Lepisosteus oculatus: one gene and its partner. The protein of the gene in region 1 binds, or shares a complex with, the protein of each later gene. Links are inferred from orthologs where the notes say so. Each region holds a gene or a part of one and is shown on either strand. Other genes may lie near its edges.

The links.
Region 2: the proteins of intu (region 1) and wdpcp are in contact, whole or in part, in a cryo-EM structure (PDB 7Q3E), measured with the Mus musculus proteins. The link is inferred for Lepisosteus oculatus from reciprocal best matches to the Homo sapiens genes INTU and WDPCP. Residues at the interface, in NP_780724.3 of Mus musculus: Val481, Gln484, Val488, Asp491, Ser495, Asp496, Glu498, Ala499, Ala500, Asp501, Ser506, Glu507, Asp508, Arg513, Arg514, Thr517, Ser532, His533, Leu534, Pro535, His574, Tyr593, Glu610, Gly613, Cys614, Ala615, Ser616, Lys617, Ser653, Pro654; in NP_663400.2 of Mus musculus: Phe3, Cys4, Leu5, Ile24, Leu51, Ser54, Arg55, Asp56, Lys93, Leu385, Ala386, Glu387, Asp388, Tyr389, Ile427, Lys446, Leu447, Gly448, Ile449, Leu450, Thr451, Arg452, Gly453, Leu455, Leu462, Gln463, Ile465, His466, Tyr467, Gln487.

The regions. Positions count from the first base shown.
Region 1 is NC_090696.1:66,111,051-66,118,807, reverse strand, and holds the start of intu (protein inturned), read right to left. Parts: upstream 3,038-7,757; 5' UTR 2,909-3,037; coding exon 2,766-2,908; intron 1-2,765. UniProt on the Homo sapiens protein: Plays a key role in ciliogenesis and embryonic development.
Region 2 is NC_090712.1:9,392,143-9,400,107, reverse strand, and holds the start of wdpcp (WD repeat-containing and planar cell polarity effector protein fritz homolog), read right to left. Parts: upstream 3,082-7,965; 5' UTR 2,539-3,081; exon of another isoform or gene 2,431-2,538; intron 1-2,430. Other genes in the region: mdh1ab (malate dehydrogenase 1Ab, NAD (soluble)), read left to right, coding at 3,358-3,360, 4,067-4,165, 4,605-4,701, 5,723-5,898, 7,166-7,288, 7,712-7,888. UniProt on the Homo sapiens protein: Probable effector of the planar cell polarity signaling pathway which regulates the septin cytoskeleton in both ciliogenesis and collective cell movements.

The sequences.
Region 1 (7,757 bases):
GCAATTTGTCCTGGTAGGCCAGCTTCACGCGACCTCCTCTGAACAGTTGATGTCGACACATTGTACTTCTAGTTGCATTGAGCTCAGCAGTTAGCCACCGGTTTCACAGACTTGTGACTCTAATGAACTTATTCTCTGATTCTGAGGTCACCTTTGGCCTGTCTGACCTTTTTCCATCCTCGCGAGTTCCGGTTTATTCATATCGTTTGATAGTCTTGGCCACGGCAGTTACTGACACTTGCAAAGTTCTTGCAATTTGTCGTAAAGATTGATCTTCATTTCTCAAAGTAATTATAGATTGGAATTACAGACTTTTGCCCATGCTCCCTATATTTATAGTAATCGTGGACCCTCACCTGTTTACCAATAATTGGTGACAAAAGGTAAATGAGGTAACATGCTAGTTAACTGTGAGTTTACAAAGAATTTTAAACTTATTTTAGTGTTCTAACACCATGTTATACACATTTCTAACTTTAAACTAACCTGGGCTTCAGACTGAAATCCGCCTGCTTTGGGTGTTCATTTTATTGAAAATCAAAAATTAACATTTTCAATGCAGTTCACTTCAGATTAAAAGTACACATCTCATGTAATTAAATATTAAGTGCTTTATAGACAAGTTTATACAATTTAAAGCAGAGATAATCATAAACCTGGTTTCAAGAAGGTGTACTCAAACTTTTGACTGGTACTGTATATTTTTGCACCTATTCTGTGGAAGCCTAGAAGACTGAAAATCAAGAGACATTCTCTGACACGGACATCACGAGACATTCTCACACGGACATCATAGTCGCCTTTACCCAGAGGACTCAAGCAGATAAAAAGCTGTTAAATGTCTCAGCCCAAAAAGATCAGTTAAGTCAGGCTTAAATTAAGTCTGTACAGCTGCCCTTCTGCTCATCACAGCCCTTCTAACCCCTTAATTTTCTCTTCTTTACACTCATAACAAAAAAGTAAAAAGTAAAAGCAGACTCCGAGATGCCCAAAACCCTTGAAGCCACCAGGATTTCAATCACTTAGCTCCCAGAGAAGAACTTAGTGCACTGAAGCTTACAGAAGTTACTAGGTCACAGAGGCACACAGAAATTGTTCACACTGTTTGGTGTACAGTATCAGTTCATTCCATTTGTCTTTGGTGCTTTGGAGCTGTAGTTCAACAATTCACTATTCACATGACACATTATCCTATGTACAGTACATGATCACCTCAATAACCGATGGCTCAAGTGGTGCACTGTATTCTTGTTTCCTGCCCTTCTAGTAATAGCTGTCCCCTACCTTGCAGAACCTCAAGCTTTTTTCACTGGCTAGGAAGGCCAACAAACACGATAATTAGCAAACAGCACTCCTACAGTAGGACATGTAACAACAGCAGGTGACATAATGATTTTTGCTGCCCTCAGTAAAATCCCCACCCTGCTTTCAACTGAGAAAACATTACATTTAAAGGGCAAATCCAAATGAATATACACAGGAAGACAAGGCCACAGAGAGCGAGATCAGAGAGCCCCTATACCAGCAAAGTGAAGGAGATGATTCAGGCCATGTGTGGATGAGAGACAGACAAAAAGCAGGGCCATTCTAATGAGGGTATCCAAAACTACAGAGAGAGGAACCAGCAGGAAAGAAAGACTTTGCAGTGAGGATGGCAGGTGCTCAGGTGGGACAGATCTAATTACAGCTCATGCACCAGTGCCTGGAAGAAACGAAAGAGGAGAACTAATGGAAGAGACAGAACCATCAGTAGGATACCTGCTGAAAGCTTTAACATTGCAGCATCCCAGACGTCACAGCAGAGCCAACAACCACAACAGGAGAACTCAGCGAGGTGGAAAGCAGCAGCACCAGATGAAGATGCAACAGCACTAATGACAAAGACTAAGGGAATTGTTCAGAGAAATCACATAACAAAAACAGAGACTGGTAACAATACAAAAGGTCCCACTGCAAGGACTGGAACACCAGAGCTATTAACACAAGCACTGCCCATTGGTTTGAAGGTCACAGAACTGAGGGTTTGAAGGTCACAGAACTGAGGGAAATTCTGATAGTCAAGGCACAGACAGAAGTACTTTAAACACTCAATGGGGAAGGTTGCTCAAAGAAGCAAAGAAAAGGTAGGCACTTTTGAAGATGGTTCAGCTGTTTTTTTCTAAAAAATAAAAAAACACCGTAAATTGTGCGTGTTCTGCTGTAATTTTTCAAAAGCCAGGAGATGAGACAAGAGTACAGGATGGAGAAAAAAAACACTGTAGTACAAATGACATTTTTATACAACTGAGCCTTAATCATACTGCACTCAAATTTCATTCTGGGAATTTATCTGAACCTTGCATATCTAAGAATCATTTTAGATCAGCACACGAGAGAAAACCCTTCTTAACCTGTTTCTAAAACTTTATTATCACAAATTAAGTTAGTGTCTTAAACCTAAATCTCTGATATTACTACCTTTCTGAGTGAGAACTCTAGAATTTACACTGTCATACCAGTAACTCGCTGTACATTATTATTGCAACTATTTTGTATCGTCTGCTTTTTAAAGCTCATGACACGGTATACTTTATGTAAAAACAAAAACTAATAAAAGACGTTATCAGTAGTTGGCAGCATAGAAATACTTCAGCCGAACTCTGTAGTAAATATTATTCACAATTACACTACAACAAAACATCTAAGCATATTTTCAGATTTCAGCTCGTAATTCAGTTAATTATTTTCATCAGATTTATTTTTGCTACGTTGTGACGGTATCTCACTCTGAGTAATCGGAGGGGCTGTAACTTGATGTAGTGTCACTCTCATAGCTGCCTTCGTCGTCCTCCGGTTGTTGTTCTCTGTATGGACCGGGGGTGAAAGGAGACTCGGAGGATCGCTGGAAATCTCGAACCTGGGAATTCATCTTCTGATACGCATTAACACGTTATAGTAACGCATACCGATCTTTCTCTAAACTGTCTACAGTACGTTACTTTCTCACGTTGACAACTAACACTTCGCCATATTGTCCCGCATACGGGTTAGTTTGAGTCATGTGACAGGAATACCACCTTTCTGATTGGCTAGCAGCGGGGTTGCCATAGGCACAAGGAAGCCTTGACAAGCATAGAGGCAGGTTACACAGGTGTGAATGGATAGGTGTCGGCGATTAAATAAGAAATTGCAGAAAAGCCATTTCCTTAGTTATGCGTTTGTGACACTTAGTATACACACAAGTATATACAATTGTGTGTACTTAGCTGTCTGTCCTATTTAACAATCTGTGTTATTTGTACTGTACATATATTTCAAAATCATAAAAAGATTATTTTAATCGGTTGCTTTTATTTAGTTTGGGAGTAACCTTATAACATTAACATAATAATAATGTCTGTACGGTAGAATACATAGAAAGTATTGTGAAAGTTGAAGTAAACTTTGTAGTAAAATTTGGCTTTACATCATTAAGAAAATATTGTTTAAAAATCGTTATCTAAAAATTAATTTTCTTAAAACATTAAAGTGCTGCAAAATATTCAATTTTTTGTCAATGCGGTAAAATTTTTATTATATCAGCTATTTAATTATGCTTGAATACGAGGTGTGTGCTTACCACGGTTGACAGTTTGCAACTTACTTTCTTGGTAACCTCACTGTTGTCCTGACGCCAGAGGCGTGGATGGCCACAGTGCTGTAAAGCCTAATAGTTTCGACAGAGAGTAGATGTATTTCTTGCTTAACGTCTAATGCTACCACTTGCGGTTGTCTTTTGAAGGGTTTTTATGGACTAAACTGGATGCTTACCATTGGTGTTCTTACTGTATTAAGAACATTCAATGTGAACAGAAAAATACAAGTGAAATGTTTCTTTTTACATCTCAATAAAACTTCGGCCATTTGGCAGCAAATTCCCCCTGATGAAAAGGCACAGTACAGTGTATTTCCTTGAGAAAGCTAACAGTAACGGACGGCGATGTTTTAGTTTCCCTATGGGTTTACAGTAAGAGAAGGCAATGTTAAAATAAATTCGATATTATTACCCTTTAAAACACGTCATGCACAGAAAAGGTTCTGGAGATGCTTTCCAGCTGCAAATGCTAAACGTTTAAAAATAAACGTATCTTGATCATCGTTGCCACCCATTACAACTAGGTCAAATACTGTATTATCAGAAAAAGGAAATACTGTTTTTATGTTGAATTATGTCAAACTGGCTTCATGTCTTGTGTAAACAACGCAAGTAACGTGACTGTTATTTTGAATGCGAATACAATAAAAAAATATGTTGCACCAAGCAAGACCTTAATCCCCAAGTATTCATTGACCAGTACATGAATACAAAAACTATGCGCACTTTCTCCCCACATCTACTGTACAATCTGTTAAATGTAACGTATATGGTTAAAAATTCATTACTTCCCCAAATGCCAAGTTACTGTTGTTGGAGAAGAAGACCAAGGTACACTAACCTGTAGAGAAGCACGCTGCGCACAGAATCGAAATCCTCTAGGTTCTTTGAACAGGGTCTTGATGTTCTTCCATCTATACCGACATTAAACATTCTTTATTCCTGGATCATGTTTCCACGAGGAGCAGATGCTGGAATTAATACCAGTTGGATACAAACCCATTGCCTTTGAGCGTTAAGGTTTAGCAGCTATACGTTGGCTGTGCCGCGACGCCAAAATCCCTCCCATCGCAGTTTTTGCAGTTTATGAAGAATAGCCCCTTCAAAGACCGTGGCTCTCGAAGCGGTGTTTTAAATTGTGTTAACAACAATGTAATCTCTCGCTCTGGCAGTCGGCGGTACATTCCAGACTTTCTCGCCTTCAAACTGAATGAAAACTCCTTTCAAATTAGCTTCCCCCCCAATTCACACGCCAGTCACTGACGGTACAAAGCTCTCCTTTACCACCCGTTGCTTTGAAGGCAAGGGAAGCGGCACTAGAGTCCTTCACAGAGCCAGGGCGCAGTCGTTAGAATAAATACCGAGCGCCAATTCTGGACAAGCAAGATCTGTGCTCTGCGGTAAAGGGATTACTGCCTTTCCTCAATACTAAACTGAGTTTTGTATTGAATTGTGTTAATCCGCAGCCTTTACTTAATCGTTTAAAAGGCGACTACCAGACGAAACGTGGTATGCACAAACATTTCACATTGAAAAAAAAACCCTCAAACTCTCCTATGCATAAACAAGAAGTGCGCATTCACGCCTTCAAAAACTATATACTGTACAGCGTAACCAGTACAGATTTTATGTAAATAAAAATCTACAGTACATTCAAGAAGCGTTTAATCCAGTAATGCCAGAAATATTACTTTTGTCACGATTTTAGACATTCTTTATTACTTTGAAAAATGTTCATTTCTTTCTCAGATGTCTGCTCATAGATATACAGTATCACCCACAACAGACTTGTGGTTGCAAGTAAAGCAAATTTTATCCTATTTTATGTTTGTTAGTTAATGATAACCAATAATACGGAATTAATAACGTTAATTTATCTCATGTGAATTTGCTTCAGACACAACAAGATTATGCAGTCATTCTTATTGTGTTTTTAAAAAAAATTCTTAATTTTATTATTACTTTATAAGCAGTAACACAAGTGAGGCAAACGAGTAGTCGGGTGCAGTTTCATAACTATCCAACTTGTGAGGACGTAGCAAAATTAAATTGTGTTACATCGCATGTCATTATTATAGCACATTTTTTACTTCTCACGTTGGTGAGTAATTTATAGGCTGCCACTTAGAGCCCGCAATTCGACCCAGTATTTATTTATCATAATATTCTTGGTCATATCCAATCAGCTGATTGTTTGTCCTTTATAGCGCTCACTAGTGATTGTATTAAACTAGATATATATATTTACATTTATTGATGATTTAAATACCAGTTACCATGGATGATGGCCACTGCAAATCACAGACGATTTAATAATTGAATTGAGAGTGCCATCTTGTGGCGTGAAGAACGACCAGGCCGTTCTGAGGAAAAAAGGTTTCAAAGTATTTCAGCAGAATAACGCGATTTTCGCCATTTAGCCAATGAAGAGGTTGACACGCACAACAATCTGGGAGTTGTGTCGGAGTTTCTAATAACTACCCTTTCAATGTCGTGGACAGACAAAACTTCCCCTCCCACATTATCGGTCTAGTACAAGTCTAGTATTGAACCTTTTTGAAAAACTGTTATTATTAGACTTAACGGAACCACTGTGAAGAGAGACCGCAGCAATAATTCTTACAACTTGGTTTCCAGGACAAGAGGTTTTCACAATAAAAAAAAAAATCAGATTTTATTGGAAATCAATACATATCAGTAAGCATACATAACAGTTCACAAAAAATATAAAATGCCCTTTTGCTGAATGGGTTCTGACTGTTTTTTTCAGTGGAGAAACAGTATTTAAGTTGGACCTCCCAGCTATTTATTGCACTTGACAGAAACTGTCAAGCCATTTTTTGATAGCATGCAGACCATTACACATTCCCAAATTATCCCTACTTGTACAGAAAATAAGAGACAGAAGTGTCACTCTGTTTGATCTTCCCACAGTACCTGCTTGACTGTTCTGTGGGACAGCTACATGACGAACTTCCTAACAGAGCAGTATTCACTATATCAACCCACCTGAATCCCCATTTACTGTGTCACCTCTTTTAAATTGGATAATGTTTGTTAATTCTTTCAGGATTTACAGAATTTTAAATCACTGCATTCAGTTGAGATCCTGGCTTACAGTAAATTCATGTCCCTTGCTGTACAGTATGTCAACATCTTGTGCTTTCATTTTGAGTTGTACAAAAAACAGCTCTTCTTTTTTTAAACGTTCATTTTAAAATAATTCTAAAGGCAGTTCTCATTTAAAACTTGTACGTTAAAAAAAACCCCAATTCTACAGAGGTCCTAGCCAACTAAACACTTGGTTTGTCTTTTAAACATGAAAGAGTTAAATGTAACTGAAGTTTAAACCTCAATAATGTAGAAAAAATGCATAATCCAACATTTTAAATGTGTGCTCACAGTTTATTAGTTAAGGTACTGTAGATATTCATAAAATATATGGCTTTTGTTAACCCAGAGTAACTTCACAATTTATGTTTCATCAACAATAATCATATTAGACATAAAATTCAAGTATTTTAGAAATATGGCAACTTTGAAACCCAAAGTATTTTTCGAATTTCCTAAAATTCACAAAAATCAAATCCGTGGACGGATTATCTATATATTCCATGAATTTCAAAATATTTAAATGCATAGTAATCCTTTTCAAATAGGCAATAGCTTTTGAAATATCATTTTTGGAATCCGTATTTTCAAATGCGTTTAATGTCTCACTGGCTGCCTGACATATTGTATTCGATTCGAGTCAGACTACTTTGTCCCTGTTGATGAATCATCCAGATGTCACAAAAATACTTTAACTGAAAGGCGGCATCAAAATTTTAAACTTACAATAACCATCTCAATGAATGCATGTGCGCTATGTGCATTCTTCATATGCATATAATTTAATTAATCAATAATTGAATTAAGATAATGCAGATTTTGTATCTTCCACATTTTGCTTTTTTGTAAAAGTTTTTTTGTGCATCTTAAGGGTTGCGATCAGTTCACAATGACTGTGAAATCTTGTGCTTTGTCCTTATTGCCAGTTTACAGCAGCCTGAATGCTGAAATGGAAAGGTTTAAAATCCTGAGAAGAGATGCGCTTAAGGACAGAAGAGAGGTGGGCACTGCTTCACACAAAGCATGATGGGAT
Region 2 (7,965 bases), on another chromosome or scaffold:
CGTAACACTGTGCTTCATTCCTGATTGAAGTACTAAAGATTTGTGTGAACCAAACACAAACATTCAAATGAGGCAGCAGCGAGGCATGGAGCTGGAAGCTGGAAGACTAAAGGACAATCTTTTTTCCAGCCACCACCGATCCTCTCATCTGTTTGTTAACGCTCTTAACAGCCCTGAAAAGATACCCCTGGAAACAGATCCAACAGAACAGAAGACAACCCAAAAACAAAATAGAACTATGTTTCTGCCTGCAAGAAAACAAAGTAGTAAAATAATACCACACCTACTTAAAAAAAAATCCAAACCTGTTAAAATGACCTATTTATTAAATAAATAACACTACAGAACCCTTAATAGGCACTTGGAAATGTCTGTCAAAGCATAATGGTTTCCAAAGTCAATGAGATGTAATAAAATCTGGGCCAGCTTTGTTCAACTGATGTAATGACCCTGTAATTAGACCATGAAATATTCATAAGTCAGATCACCTAACACTACCCCCTGAATGGAAAGCCTCTGACACTCCTGCTCTGAAAGGACTAAGCACCTGGCCAGGGAACTGCAATTTTCTGTGTCAAACCAGAATGACAACGATCTCACAATCGTAGGTTAATGCACTTCTTCTTCCCATTGTTACAGCATCTCTCCTGACAGCAAACATTCAACTCACACGAATCACACTCATCGTTGATACATCCATTTCCAATAAGAGCTTTGTCAACACAGGGCCGAGGGGAGCCACAGACCAGCCCTGCAGACCACGGGCTCAAGGCAGGATTCACCCTGGACAGGATGCCAGTCAATCACAGGGCACATCCTCAGAGACACATACACAACATGTTTCTGGACTGTGGAAGGAAACCAGAGCACCCAGTGAAAAACTACATGTCCAGAGGAGAACATGCACATTCCTCACAGAAGGTGCTGCAGGCCAGAATTGAACCCAGCACCCAAGAGCTATGAAGCAGCTTATCACCATGTTGCTCAATAGTGGGTGTAATAAAAAACACCCACTATTATTTCCAAGAACTCTTAAAAAAAACTCACATTTCAAAATGTTTTCAAGATGCTAGGGAAACATGTTTGCTAAGGAAAGTGAATAAGTAAAATCTACAGAAATACCACTACATTGCAAGCAAACATTTAGGTCAAACAAAACGTAATTTGTAGCTAGAAGTGATCTCCACCGGACCAACCAAAAAAAAACACATAAATTCTATGTATTCTCTACAAAGATAAGGGTTCATTGAGGAGGTGGATCAGTATATAGCCTTCTGTGACAACCTTATGTTCAGGCACTGATCCACACATTTAATCAATATTAGTTGCTATTTAATTTATTATATTAGATTATTCCAATTGTTTTGTACATTGGTTACTTTAATTGTTTCCAATTGTTTTCTTTCCTATTCGTTTCAGTGCAGTAACACTTGCTCCAGGATCTGAAGGTTTAGTCCAGTAACGCAAACTGAATTGAAAAATAAACATCAGAACTACAACAAAAATGTCTTAGCGTTGGAGGAACAATGATCTACTGTACTTGGATTCTTCTGAAATAATGATCTTATACAGCACTTTTCACTTTTTTTCACCCGTCAGTGAAAGGTCATTTCTAAAAACTTTTTTCAAAGAACAATTTTCTTTTTTTCCATTTGTTAAATGTACACTAGAGTGTCTGAGCGTATTCGTTCTGTCTTAGCAAGAAGATCAATTCTTCAATAATCCAATGACGTTATTTTAACTTGTAGGTAAATGACCGTGGTCCAGTTGCACATTGTAGGTAGATTTTAAAAAGAAGGGAGTATTTTAAAAAGTGAAAGGCAGATATGGTATTAACATAATTTGAAAAAACAACGGGTAAATTATACTGAAACTGTCTATCCAAAGGTATTGTATCTACTCAGTACTACCAGTAGAACTGTCGTTTCGGTGGAGCTCATGAACTGCACAGTTATGTTTAATACAAAAGTATTTTAGACATTTGAAGCTTCTAAACTAACCAAGGTCAGGTTGATAATTAAGAATCACTCAGATTTCTATTAGAGAGTCTCATACATTCTGAGAATAAAATATAAAACTACATTTTAATAACATCTATTTTAATGAACATCACTTGCAATTGCAGAACAGTAAGCGATAGGAAGAAATAGCAATCGAATTCTAAACCTGAAATCACGAAATGTAGCACAATTCCCATTATTTCAGAAGCTGGAAAGTATTAATCCCACAGCCTGTCGGACTAACTCTACACATTTATAGTTTGGCATTGTTAAATCAAACGGGCTCATTCAAACATGCATGCACAGTGAATAATCATGAATCTATACTCACGTTAAATCTTTAAGCAGAAGACATCAGGTATTTTGAAACCACTGGCGTATTTGACAAGCACTTAAGAAATGCCATTTTAAACTTCCAGTTTCAACCTACCTGCTGTGTTCCGAGATCTGATGTGCAATCTCTGCAGCTTGCATTCAGACGGAGGAGCAAAAAACGGTTTACTGGTCTCTGTGTCAAAGAGAAGGTGTAATTTTTTACCCTTTTGTTTCTTTTTCAAAAGATTCTTGTACATGTGATGTACAGAAGACTGTTGTTTATTTTACAGCTACTTCTTAGATTGAGCACCGGTACGCCGTCATCGCCGCACGAACGCTTCCTGAAGCGGCTGGCAGGTCTTGCTCTCCGTGTCCAGGCAACCAGGGAAGCTTCCTCGACTCTCAGACTCCCTCGGCCCAGCGTGCGACCGCCATTACCTTCCGGGTCAGACAAGTCGTTCCTCCCGGGAGGGCAACTGAAGTTTTAAGCAATATTAATCATCCGTAGTAACGGAGGTGTAAACATTCCTCCATCATCTCCTGATTCCGAATTTTAGATCTGAACATGCCCGTGCACACGTGTAGAAATTGCGTTAAACGCTTTGAGCGGATAATCACTTTTTTTAAAAAAAAGATAACATATATACTGTAGGTAGAAAAGTGTTTTCATGCAGAGGAAGTCCAAAAAAATGCCGCTGTTTTTTATACATTTGGAAAATCGTGCTTACATCAGGAAGAAAGCCGAGCTCCACATTCATATTAATCACCTTTTCCCCCAATGAAATACTGGCAGGCGATTCTAAAAATGGAAGGGAGCAGGGCATACTGGACAATGTATTTCCCAAATTTCGATTTCGGAGCAAAATAAAAAATCTTTGCCGGAGTCAACACTACAAGTCCCAGAATACACTGGGGTCAGCGGCACATGCGCATTAACAACTCGTTGGGCCCCCGTGATCAGTTGCTGTCTGAAATAGAGGTCACCCTCACTCTGTTCAGTTAGGTGAGAGAGTTGGTGTCTAGCAGATCAAGAGTCATCGAAATGGTAAGAGGACGGTTGGCATCGGTTTGTAAAGACATGCATATGTACATTTTTAACGTGTTTAGGATTCTGGTTTGTTTTTTGGGCGGTTTTGCCACTTTATCGCCTTGCATTGTACATAGGTACCGACATCGGGCCGATTGAATATAAATATGATATAAATCGGAAGACGTTGGAGGGTAGGAACCGGAGTTTCTGGTATGTTGAACTCCATTGTTTAAGAAAGGCGTTTACAGTTTGCACTTTCAAATTTGCACCAAATAAATTTGGCGTTACATTTTTTTAAGATGAGCTACAGTTACTTGACTTGCGTACGCGTTGCACGACACTTGCAGTGCATAATCGCCATGGTGTTATGATTTTTCCGACATCCGTTTCATCTGCTGTAGTCTAATGGCTGCTTATATGCCTGTTTATATGCTTTTTGTTACCTCGAACAAAACCCCAAGGTCACTGCAATGTAGAACAGCAAGTTTATTCCTGCTGCGAAGCTGAAACCGATAAATTAACGTTCATTTAGACTTGCATAAACATTTCTGAGGATATATTGATTATCGGCTTTAATCTTTATTTTGAATGTGTGCTGTGTATCTATGGAGATGTCCTTGCAGTCGCTTCTGCGGGAGGTGACTCTGGGAGGGGAAAATGTTTATAAAGCAATTTGAGATGGTCCGTCATTAAGCCCCCATTTTTCACCCTGTTGTTGCAGTCTGATCCCATTAAAGTTTTGGTAACTGGCGCTGCTGGCCAGATCGCCTATTCCCTTCTGTACAGCATCGCTAAGGGAGATGTCTTCGGCAAAGATCAGGTAAGTAATGGACCGGTTTAGTTGCATCTTTCTTTAGGAAACACACCCTAGGCCTCATATATAATTAAATTGCGATGGTACTGAAGAACTTTAATTTTGGGCTGGCAAACTGCAGACACTAAAGACGTGTAAGTTACAAACGTACTGTTTGTAAGTGGGTCTTTTGCCAGGGGCTGTAAAATGGTATCTGGCAATTTAGGATTATAAAATAGTGGTGCTTGAATTTAACATTAGTCACTTCCTTGCCAATGCTTATTTCAGCTGAGTTTAACTTTTTGCTCGCATGTTCTTAGTCCATAATAAGGGCATCTGAATTTAGTTCTTCTGAAGGTGATGTGCACGGTGTAACCTTGTTTTGTGATGGCGTGACTGCATGTGCGCAGTGACTCTGGTCTGGTTGTTGTGCTTCCTTCTGAAGTATTTTGCCTCCTCTTCCTAGCCGCTTGTTCTTGTTCTGCTGGATATCACCCCTATGCTGCCAGTCCTGGACGGCGTGGTGATGGAGCTGCAGGACTGTGCCCTCCCACTGCTGAGAGGTATGCTGGGCCCGATGCCCCAGTCTGCTGGAGTCCCAGTTCTCTAGCAGACAAGCGTGTTAGTGTGTAGAGCCTTAACCCAGTGAAGCAAGGACTTTCTTTATGCAATTAATGTGTGGGGGGGTAATTTAACTCCTACAGATTACTCTAAATGGAGGACAATTATCCTACTACAGAGGGTTTAATTTTGAATATGATTAGTATTTTTTTCCTAGTCATGTGTAGTGAACATGTAGGTTAGTGCTTTAAATGGTGTGCACTTCTCTAACTGCTTGGGTGAATTAAAAATTCTAGGTAATATTTTGAAGTGCACAGCTAGTCTTGAAGAGGAGTGATGGTTCCTTCTGTGCGTCTTATCTCGGGGGGGAGGGGGGGAATTAAAATCCTGTAATCTCATTTTCGTCTACCTTTGTTCATTTTAGTTTGTGCTGAAGCTAATGACATCAGATCTGCAACATAATTCAGACCAGTCCTTCATAATTGCAGACTGCATGTGTAATATTTTTTATTCCACTGCTTGAAAAGCACTTTGTCCCAGCACCATTGATTAAGATCCGTCTCCTGCCGTACAGCGCTATAATGGAGCTCTCTGCCTACTGACTGCAGCCCTAGTCTGAGGTCCCCCCTGCAGAACTGACACTGCTGTGTGTAAGGCTCAGCAGCGGATGGTGGAGAGGTGTGCCGAACTGCAGGGCTCTGATTGGTCACTTAGTGACCTAGATGAAAGCACCACCCACAGTATGTGCCGCAGTAACAAAATCAGACTGTGTGCAAGGTATACTACTGGAAATTGATGAATGCACAGAGCCCAGGCTGAAGTTCAGCCTGATAATGGGGGTTTATTGCAACTTGCAACACCAGATTGCCTGATATTGGTGACCAGCAGTTTTCCAGCCACTTGTAAATGAGCATTTTAAGTTTTGGCTGCTGTTGGCAGAAATCTAATCCTCTGTTTTGTCAAGGGAAAAACGAGTTTGCAGAGCTTCTGTCCGACTATGAAGTGTAATTCTGTGGTTTGCAGAGGTCATCCCAACTGACAAGGAGGAGGTGGCTTTCAAGGATCTTGACGCAGCCATACTGGTAGGCTCCATGCCAAGAAAAGAAGGCATGGAGAGGAAGGATCTGCTGAAGGCCAATGTGAACATTTTCAAGTCCCAGGGTGCCGCTCTGGATAAATATGCCAAGAAGACCGTCAAGGTGACTAAGATTAATGAGCCTGTAATGAAAGCACAGTTTTGCTGGTGGCTTGTTAGATTTGGCTTTAATTCATTGCGCACAGCAGTCAGCCAGTAATTCCCATTTCTGTGCTGCAAATAACCTGAATTCCTCAGCTTACATCCTGTGGGCTTGTAATTTGGACTGAAGGGGGGGTAAAGCACTTGAAAGAAATGTTGAATAATTGTAAAATGAATGTTCCTGGTATTTAATGCTTTTGAAGAAATGGGATAGAAACAGCTTGTGTTTCTGCCCTCCATTGGCATAAAAAAATAGTGACCAATTTGTTCAGGTTATTTTGTATAGTGGTATTCAGAAAAGAGTGCATTGAAGGTACACTTCGTGATTGCTTGAATTGATGTTTGGTGTGACTAGAGCTGCATATATCCATCAGTTACCATACATTATATCTATATGGCAAGACCAAGGCAGTGGTTCAATGATCGCTTTATAGTCTGCATGTTCTCCTTGAGTTTCCATGCACAATCCAAAGACCTTGTGACCATGTTAATTGTCATCTATAAAATTGCACAAGGCGTGTTTTTCCTCTGCCCTGCGATGCACTGGAACACCAGGATGTCAGCCCACATGGCTCCCTGTGCCCTGAGTGGTGACTGAACATGTATGGCAACACAATAACCACATTATTCTAGCCCCAAGCTGCTAGAATAGGACTTGTATATAACTACATTTGATTTGTTTGTAACAAAATACAAGTATGTGAACTGATTAACCCCCAAACCTCCTCCCATTTATGTTCAATTTCTTGACCTTATTTCAAAGTAATCTTTTGAGTCCCAGATCAGAAAACATGCAGTAGGCTTTTCATTTTTTGTGGAGGGTAATGAAAACTGCACCATGCAGAAAATCTTGTATTATTACACCTAAAAACTGGAATGTAAAAATGTATTCCTTTGGGAAACTGTGCCCACCATAGGAGCAACACTATTTGTAGGGTATGAAATCGCCAGTATTCAGTCAGTGGGGTGTTCATACCTTGTTTGGCGGGAATGGGCTCTCCATGGTAAGAATTATATATGTACTGTAACTGCTTTAGGATGCAGAGCTCACACAAAAAAATGAAACAGGTGACTTATGTTTGTGGGTTTAAGCCTGATACAAGAAAGAGAAGTGATCCTTTGTTATTCTCCAAAAATCTAAACTGCTCTGCTTCTGTTCAAATCTATGGGTGGTAACCTGCTATGACTGCTGATGGCAATTCATATTGACTCTGTGTTGGCTTTTTTAGGTATTGGTTGTGGGAAACCCTGCAAACACCAACTGCCTGATTGCCTCCAAGTCAGCTCCTTCTATTCCCAAGGAGAACTTCTCCTGCCTGACCCGTCTGGATCACAACAGGGCCAGGTCACAGGTCTGCAGCCTTCACCATGACCTTGTAACCAAATGGTAGAAAGTTTGTATTGTAATAATGTGGGCACCAGTTAGGCTACATCCATCAAATAACCGCCAATCAATGTTCTAGAGAACCTGTGGGGATATAAGTTTGTTTTAGCTGACCAGCGTGTGCTTTCAAGTTAATCTTCAGTATTCTAGGATCTACTTGTCCAGCACAAAGAGCAAGTATATCGATTTAAACGTTGCCCAATGATAAAGATGTTGGTAATATGCATCAGTCTAAGGCTGAAGGTCCTGTTTACACAGCTAGAGTATTTACCCAAAAGTGAAAGGGCTACTCAAAACTATTTCTGAAGCACACTTGCTGCTTTATATAGCTTGAGTGGAAACAAAAGACTAATTTAGGCTGAAAGTAGTTAATTTTTCTTGCCCTGCACAGGTGGCGATTCGTGTGGGAGTCCCAGCTGACAATGTGAAGAATGTTATCATCTGGGGTAACCACTCATCCACCCAATACCCTGATGTGCATCACACTAAGGTCAAAGTTCATGGCAAGGAGATCGGGGCCTATGAAGCCGTGAAGGATGACAGTTGGCTCAAGGGAGATTTCATTTCTGTGAGTTGTTGGTTTTTTTTTTTTCCCCCTCCAATGATTTTTCTGAAATATGGATTTGAAGTAACTCTCGCATTTCT